Linked DNA regions of Caenorhabditis elegans. The protein of the gene in region 2 interacts with the protein of the main gene of each other region in a pairwise test. Each region holds a gene or a part of one and is shown on either strand. Other genes may lie near its edges.

Region 1 (3,798 bases), on a different chromosome or scaffold from region 2:
CAATCTCCTCCATTCGGTTCATGATCTCTTGTCGGTTTGAGCTCCAACGATCGAGGTGCCATTGAGCTCCCCAGGCTTTAACCTGGAGTTCCTTTGGCATTTCTTCGCCATTCTGAACAAGAAATATAAATTATAAAAAATGAATTTGAATAAAAATCTTACCATCAACGTGCTTTTCAAAGATTCATAGATTGACATATCGCTTTGCAGTTTGTAGATAAGTCTCTGAATCAGTTAATTTAGAATTTGAAATAGTGAATAATTTAATAAGAAAACAAGAATTTAAATGAAGACAAGTTACAGTACAATAAAAAATAATTCCTTAAAAACACGGATTCGTTTTTGATTTTTATTCTGAGCAATGAGGTGTCTTTTCAAGACCACCTGGAATATTGAACATCTGAGCCTTTAAATTAGTACTGTAGAGTATACTGTAGCTCGCATTCTTTCTGGATTTTAATCGATATTTACCATTTTCGGGTTTCCGTTATTTTCACAATGCCCACACTTGAAGTGCCGAATTTATTTTATTTATTCGCATGAAACTTTCGCAAAATAACAACAAAACAGTAGTGAAACCCAGAAAAATTCAAAATCCCGATATTAATGTTGTACAGATGATTCTTGTTGATGTGGATCCATTATCAGTGACTGATTTGGAGATTCTGGCTGCACCATTTCAATAGAACCAACATCGGAGAGGACGTCATCATCGTCTTTCCAGACGTCTTCATTCAAAAAGTGTTTTACCACTTTTTGGCGCATCATTTCCATTTTGGAAGATGCTTCTAAAATAGAAGATCCAAGTTCCGACACGGATCCTTCTCCAAGAGTCTGAAATTTGTATATTTTATTTTGAAAATTTCAAATTAATTGTTGTACCTTGGCGCTCAACGCCAATGTGACACTGTCTAGAACGATTCCAATTACAGCTACACTGTGAAGAACTCCTTTGACAAGAGAAGAGGAGAGGCGACCCTGGAAAATAAATAATATTGATGAAAAAAATAATAAAAAGAGCTTACCATCGAAGTAATTGCAAATCTAGTTCCAATTCCAGTTATTCCAGTAACTGATCCACCGAACACAGTTTTCAGCTTATTTTCAATGTCCCCGTCGTTTTTGAAATGTTTAAAGAATTCCTCATCTTCAACAATTTTCCGAACAGCTTCCATAAGTTCTTCTCTTGATTTCAGAAGTTCTTCAAAAAGTACACCGTCTTCTGCAATCATTGCAGCTACTTCTTTGTGCTGCCCTTTTGTATGAAAAAATTTCGTGATGCCTGTCGCCAAATTGGAAACTCCTGAAGCTGTTCCAACGATGAGACCAGCAATTGCAACTGGTGGCATCAAGATAAGTCCTCCAATAACTGCAATTCCAGATGCAATACCAACGGTACTTCCGACAGCTGTTGAAATTGCACATCCTTTCTCCCAATTATCCAGCTGAAATTAAAAATTTTAAAATTCATTTTGATTAAAATCTCGCATTAAAGTACATACCTTCTCAGCAATTCCTTCCATTTGTCTGACAATTTTTCTTCGATTATTGCTCCATTTGTCCAATAAAAACTGTGTACGCAATGCTGTTTCACTCAATTCTTTTGACATTGACCTTGGAATCTAAATTCATTAATAATTATATTACGAAGACGGGAATTTTTTGTGGAAAGATGCGGTACCCGGTCTCGATACGACAATTTTTGTTAAATACAACCGGATGTGCGCCTTTAAAGAGTACAGTAGGTTCGAAGTATAGTGGCTTGGAATTTTCATCGACTTTTCATAGTTTTCTCGCAATTTTTTGAAAATGTTTGTGTTTTCATTGTTTTAGTTTATTGAAAACAATTTTTTTAGGGAAAAAAACAATGAAAAGTCGAGTAAAAATCCGCAGCAGCAAAAGTTTGAAATTACAGTACTCTTTAAAGGCGCACACCCGCTGGAATTTTACAAAATACCCAGTACCGTATTATTGAAACTTTAAAAAAAATCTTACAAATAGCAAGCTTTCCAATGAATCGTAAATTGGAACTCCGTTGTCTTCCGACTGAGAACCTGCGTCGTCGTGATCATCTTTGATCTGCATCTTGTCTGATTTTATCTGAATTTTGACAAAAATGAAAACATGAGTTCATTACCAGAAAAATATTTAAAAATCGCGAAGTGTGGGAGGATTAGAAGTGAAACAGAAATCAATAAAAAATACCCTAAACTTCGAAAAATTCCAAGACGGGAAGAGCATTTTGATAGAAGGAAACAAAAGTTGGAAGACTGGGGCTAACATGTAAATTCGGAAAAATATGGATCGCGACATAAATAATTTGACGCAAAAATCAAAACAGGAAAACAAGTGACTGATGAAAAACTCCTGATTTTCCCACACTGCCCAAAAAGTCACAAGGACTGGTTTAGAAAATATGATCTAGAATTTAGTATGGTGCAATAAATAAAATAAATATCTAGAAGGGGGGAAAGCCAAAGACGGGTAAATGAAAACGACAAAAAATGTACGAAAAAAAGATAGAATCGATCGAAGAATCACATGTTTACAACCCAATGGCCTTCCCCCTCTTCTATGTCGTTCTCGGGTGCCTCCCATGACACGTTGACCCTCTCGATTAGAGAAAGAGACGACAGAGACTGTGGTGGGACAAGGCTCACTGAGTGAGAATCAAGTGATTCTAGAATGAAGAGAGAAAAAGGTGAAGACTACAGCAGCTAGTATTTTGTTCAATTTCAATGGAAGAAGTTGACTAAATTATGATGAGGAAGGCGAATAAAGGCAATATTATCACACATAGAATAAGACAGTTCCCAAGTATATTGATAAGAAAATTCAGTAGGTATGATACGAAGCGGAAATGGGAAGAATTGGGAAATAAGGCGAACGAGAGCAATTATCGATTGATGATTGGGATTTGAATCATGAAGTCGATGGAGAGCAGTAGGACGAAGTTAGCGGTCCTGAAATAAAAATGTTCAAGTTGGTTATTATAGTTATAAAAGAAGAGACCCAGACGAACACTAATACAGCTACGTATCACAATGTGACCAAACTATTACGAAATTTCGTTAATCTACTTCGGAAATTGAAAGTAAAAAAAAATGTCTCTCGAATTAATTTTGATACTTTTATTCAGTATTTATGGGTACATATTTACGTATTAAAAACCAATTTCGGACCAAAAAACAAAGCTTGCATGGTAAACAAACGTGTTTTTTGGTCAAGTTTATCCTTGTTTGCGTTCTCGCGACGAAAATAAGAAAATGAGCAGCTGAGAGGGTGACTTGTTTTGGTCAGGGCTCAATGCAAAGCGAATTTTCAAGTTATAGAAATTTTTTTAAATTTCCCTGAGTTAGATGCTAGTCATGACAATTTTCAACAAAAAAAAATTGAAACGCTCTTAAGGAATTTAGAAGAAAAATATAATTGTTAAAACAAAACGAAATTCGAAAAAATGAAAATAAACTACGACACTCCGTTATTCCGGATGTGTGTGTTGTTTACAGTAAATCTACACAGCTTGCAATTACGATTTTCTCAATTTGAAGGTTTTTTTTTGAATGGAAGTTAACTTAAGTTTGTGCCCAACAAAACTGATATATGAAACATTCACAACGACAAAAGAAATTGAAAAACCCAATGACACACAACATTCAATAAAATAAAGTAAAAAAGTTTTGAAAGACCCGAAATTCAGTGAGAATACAAAAACCCATAGGTTGAAAAATAAAAGATAAAGACAAAACTAAAAGAAAACAACATTAAAAACCAATTTTACGGATGGGATAAACTCGC
Region 2 (4,739 bases):
ATTTGGTGATTCTGTGCATTTTTGCGTTAGATCTGGTGCCCTGACGAGAAATTGCGTACTTTTGGGGCTACAGTATCTCGGAAAATTGAAAATTAACGCTAAAAGCGCGGAAAAAAGCCGGCCGGCGGGAAAAATCACCGAGAATTCGAATTTAATGTTTAAAATTAATAAAATATTCAAATTTCGCAGTATTCTATTTTCGCTGTCAGAATTAACTGTTCAAAAATTAAGCGTTTTATTATTTAGTTCTACTTTACTTTTTGGAATGACTGGAAGTATAGACAATCTTTTATGTTTTTTGCTTTTTCTTCTTTTCTGAGACCTTGAAAATTGATTTTTCCAATTTCAGAAGTTTGGCCAGAAGTCAGAACTTTTATTCTTCCGGTCCTTTATTAACCACACAGTTTTAAAATATCTGCAGAGCCCTCTCAGCTTACACACTCTTTTCTCTTTTCTGTCGGCTTCTCCTGTTTTTAACTTATTTTCTCTCTCTTGTCTTTGTATAATTTTTCAAATTTTAGGATGCCGTCGCGTAAGCCTATCAAGGTTTCCCAGGAGGATTCCAGAGACACGACTTCCGAAGCGTCAAGAGACTCATCGAGTATATCGCCCCACCGGAGATCTAAACGCGTGTTGGAACGGTGATTTTTTTTCGATTGAAATTATTTCTAGTTTCCTATTTTCAGAAATACACTCAATTCCAACAGAGTTGCAGTCCCATCGTCCGGAAGCTCTCCTTTAGTAACGTTCGGAAGGTCTCTTTCGAAATCACAAGTGGGATCAGACCGGCACAACAAGTAAATAATTAAGTTAAAAAAATTGAGTGTTAATTTTCGATTTTCAGCGGATTTCTGGCACCTCCCCCATCTCTGCAGAGCTCTACTGGAAATAATCGCTCTTTAGAGCAGGAATTGAGACGCTCGACGAGGTAAGCTTGCTTTCATTGATTGTTAGAAACTAGCAAAAAATGTGTTCAAAAGTCTAATTATCACATTTCAGAAGATCCAACCAAGGACTCGCCAACGTGGCATCTCCGCATTCAATACCGCGAAGTCTGCCGACTTGTAAGATTTTTTAAGACGAAAAAATGTAAAGTTTTTATTTTTCAGGGGATTTTATCGTCCTCACCCAAGCCAAATGACAGCGCAGTCCTCGCGGAGCAATTTTCAAACCTCAAGAGGTGACTCACTCGACGGAGTTCTCTCCTCTTTTCGGTCTCCGAACACGCTTGATCGGTAAGAAAACAAGTTATTATGAATCACTAATTTTAAATTTCAGAACATTTATTGTTTCGACGCGTGCGTCCCACTTAACTACACCATCGGCGTCCCTTCAGAGTGCCCATACGGTCAGGATTGCAGACACGTAAGCAATAGCGGGTTTTTAATTCGAATCGATTATATTATTTGAATTTCAGCGGATTCCTTGGAGCACCAGAAATACAATCGAGTCGTAGTGGATCACGTTCTCGGTTTCCTACGGAACTGTCACTTCACACAATCCAGCCAACTCTATCGTATGAGACTGCCCCAACGGATGCTACGGCCGATCGGTAAGAAGTTTGGTTTTTCAAACTGATTTTATCAGATAAATTTCAGTGGATTTCAGACGATTTTTAAGACGTAAAAATGTAAAGTTTTTGTTTTTCAGGACGTTTGTCCAACCCAACGCCACCGAGCTCAGCGGAAACCGGAGCAGAAATCAAGCAGCCCCGACAGGTTCGAGATCAGGTTCCCGTTCGAGAACTTCAGCTGCTTCAAATGTCGGAGCTGGTCGCTCTCGGTGAGTTTGGCTTTAAACTTCTAGTTTTTCTAGTAACTTTTAGTTTTAAAAGAATTTAGGCAAAACACATTTAAAAAGTGACAGGTAGAGCGTGGAAATAAATTTTCAACAAATTCGAACTCATAAATTTCAGAGACGACTCTTCAGTTCGTACCAACGAACTTCCACCACCACAATCTGCGGCTTCTAACCATTCTCCGGGAATTCTAGATCGGTAAGAAAATAAGTTATTATGAATTTTAAAAAAAGTTTAAAATTTCAGAACATTCACGGTGTCGCCAAGCCGCAGTATTTTCTCTCGTCTACCAACCGATTCGCTCACTCTCCACACAATCCCGGCCAGAATTTCGAATTTTCCCTAATTTTCCTATTGAATATCGAGCTCAGCTCGCCTTTTTACCCCAGAAAAGCCTGTTTTAAGCAGAATTGGAAATTTTGTGCATTTTGTCGTAAATTCGGATGCCTGGACGAAAAATTGCGTACTTTTGGAGCTACAGTACCTCGGAAATTTCAAAATTAACGACAGAAACCCAGAAAAAAGGCATCGGGGGTAGAAAATGACAAGGAATTCGAATTTCCTAACGGTACAGCCGGAATTCGTCAAATTAAAGACGATAATCATGAAAAATCTACACTTTTTGCAAGACTTTGAGATTCTGTGCATTTTCGCGTAAGATACGGTGCCCGGACGAGAAATTGCGTACTTCTGGGGCTACAGTACCCCGGAAAATTCAAAATTAACGCTAGAAGCCCAGAAAAAAGCCCCCGGGGGTGAAAAATTACCGAATTCGAATTTAATGTCTAAAATTGATAAAATATTCAAATTTCGCAGTAACAATATCGAAATTGCGGAAAAAAATGAATTTCTACACCATAACTTCGCATTTTCAACGATTTTCCTATTGAAATTCGACTTCAGCGGCCTGTTTTACCCCTATCCAGCCGGTTTTCGCAAAATTTAAAAATTCTGTGCATTTTGTCGTAAGATCCGGTGCCTGGACGAAAAATTGCGTACTTTTAGGGCTACAGTACCCCGGAAAATTCAAAATTAACCATAGAAGTCCAGAAAAAAGGCTCCCGATGGTAAAAAATCACAGAGAATCCGAATTTCTCGCCGAAAACCCGCTAAAACCCTACCTAACACGACCCATCTCCTCTTCTTGTATTGCGGCAAGCTCGGCGAGCAACTCAGCGTCCTCCTCCAAATTCCCGTACATTTGATTATCAATATCATTGAAATTCATCTGGAAAATCAGGGGGGTTTTGGCTGAAAATTTTGCCTGAAATTTTTGGGAAAAAAAATACCAGAAAACTGCACGGGGAACAGTTATTGAAAATTGAGAAATTAATAAAAATGAAAAAAAAATCGATAAATTATTGATTTTTTCAAAAAAAATTAACAACAAAAAACAAAAAAACGTGTATAAAAATGCGGGAACAACAGAAAAATTAAAATTTCAAAAATTTAATTGTCCACGTGGACTCCGAGCTCTTCGAGAAGTCGTTTTCGATCGATAATTGGTTGATTTGGCTGCTGGAGATTAAAAACCACTTCCTTATTCTCTTGACAACCATCTGTTAGCTGACGAACACAGAATATCGATTGATTTCTCTGAAAATTTGGAATTTTTGGGATTTTTTAGTATTAAATTCGAATTTCCCGCAATTTTTCACATATTTAGCCTTTTTTCCCCGGGTTTCTAGCGGTAATTTTGAACATTTCGGGGGTACTGTAGCTCCAAAAGTACGCAATTTGTCGGCGGCGGGGCACCAGATCTTTCGACAAAATGCACAGAATTGGCAAATCTTGCGAAATCCGGCGATTTTGGGGTAAAAATGTGTGCTGAATCCGAATTTCAATAGGAAAATTGGGTAGGAAAATCAAGTTTAAAGCAAGTTTTGTAAAAAATTCCGGACGAAATATCGATTTTTGAGATTTTTAAGCTTGAAATTCGAATTGCCCGCCATTTTTCACATGTTCAGCCTTTTTTCTGGGCTTCTAGCGTTAAGTTTGAACTTTTTGGGGTACTGTAGCCCCAAAATTACGCAATTTGTCGTCAGAAAACCTGACCGTACGACAAAATGCACAGAAATCTAGAATCTTGCAAAATTCAGCTGAAATCAGCTGAATAGGGGTAAAAAGTGGCGCTGAGCTCGAATTTCATATGGAAAAAGCGATAAAGTTGAAATTTTACCAATTTTTTTGAAATTTCTGAGGAAATAATTGAATTCCGATAATTTTCCAAGTTTTTAGTGTGAAAATTCGAATTGCTCGTCATTTTTTACCACACTTTGGCGGTTTTCTAGGCGTTTACCGTTAATTATAAGATTTTCGGGGTACGGTAGCGCCAAAAGTACGCAATGTTCCGTCGATGCACCATATCTTACGACAAAATGCACAGAAACTTCAAAACTCGCGAAAACCGCCTAGGCAGGGGTAAAAAGGGGTGCTGAATCCGAATTTCTGAAGAAAACAGCAGAATTCTTACCAAAAATTCGAGATTTTTAATAATTTTCCACTAAAAATCGACATTTTTCAGCGAAAAACCTAGAAAATCACAATTTTCCATTGTTTTTCTATCGAAATTCGGTTTCAGCGCTCTTTTTTACCCATATCCCGACACTTTTCGCAACATTTTGAGTTTCTGTGCATTTCGTCGTAGGATCCGGTGCCCGGACGAGAAATTGCGTACTTTTGGGGCTACAGTAACCCGGAAATCTCAAAATTAACGCTAGAAGACCGGGAAAAAAGCCAAAATTGGTAGAATTGGACGGAGAATTCGAATTTGAAAGTGAAAATTTGAAATTTTTTTGGGTTTTTCAGAAAATCCATGATACCATAGTAAAGCTCTCCAAGAAATATTCAGGCCGTCTCGTGGTACATTGAAGCACTGAAATTAGTCCTTGTCGGCCATTTTGCAGCGTGGCAAGCTTATTAGAATCCGATAAATTCGCCA

Evidence for each region.
Region 1: the proteins of ccct-1 (region 2) and F07F6.8 interact in a two-hybrid assay, tested with the Caenorhabditis elegans proteins (one large-scale study listed by BioGRID).

Annotation. Positions count from the first base shown.
Region 1 is NC_003280.10:5,423,634-5,427,431, forward strand, and holds F07F6.8 (Apolipoprotein L3-like), read right to left. Parts: upstream 2,101-3,798; 5' UTR 2,086-2,100; coding exon 1,996-2,085; intron 1,623-1,995; coding exon 1,503-1,622; intron 1,446-1,502; coding exon 1,026-1,445; intron 979-1,025; coding exon 883-978; intron 835-882; coding exon 604-834; 3' UTR 508-603; downstream 1-507. Other genes in the region: F07F6.7 (Apolipoprotein L, 1), read right to left, coding at 1-112, 163-198.
Region 2 is NC_003279.8:13,777,186-13,781,924, reverse strand, and holds the start of ccct-1 (Coiled-coil and C2 domain-containing protein 1-like), read right to left. Parts: upstream 3,031-4,739; 5' UTR 3,027-3,030; coding exon 2,920-3,026; intron 2,147-2,919; coding exon of another isoform or gene 2,045-2,146; intron 1,997-2,044; coding exon of another isoform or gene 1,916-1,996; intron 1,783-1,915; coding exon of another isoform or gene 1,651-1,782; intron 1,553-1,650; coding exon of another isoform or gene 1,418-1,552; intron 1,366-1,417; coding exon of another isoform or gene 1,279-1,365; intron 1,236-1,278; coding exon of another isoform or gene 1,110-1,235; intron 1,065-1,109; coding exon of another isoform or gene 1,000-1,064; intron 929-999; coding exon of another isoform or gene 845-928; intron 798-844; coding exon of another isoform or gene 687-797; intron 642-686; coding exon of another isoform or gene 523-641; intron 1-522. Other genes in the region: Y37H9A.1 (Copper transport protein 86), read right to left, coding at 3,248-3,394, 4,621-4,739.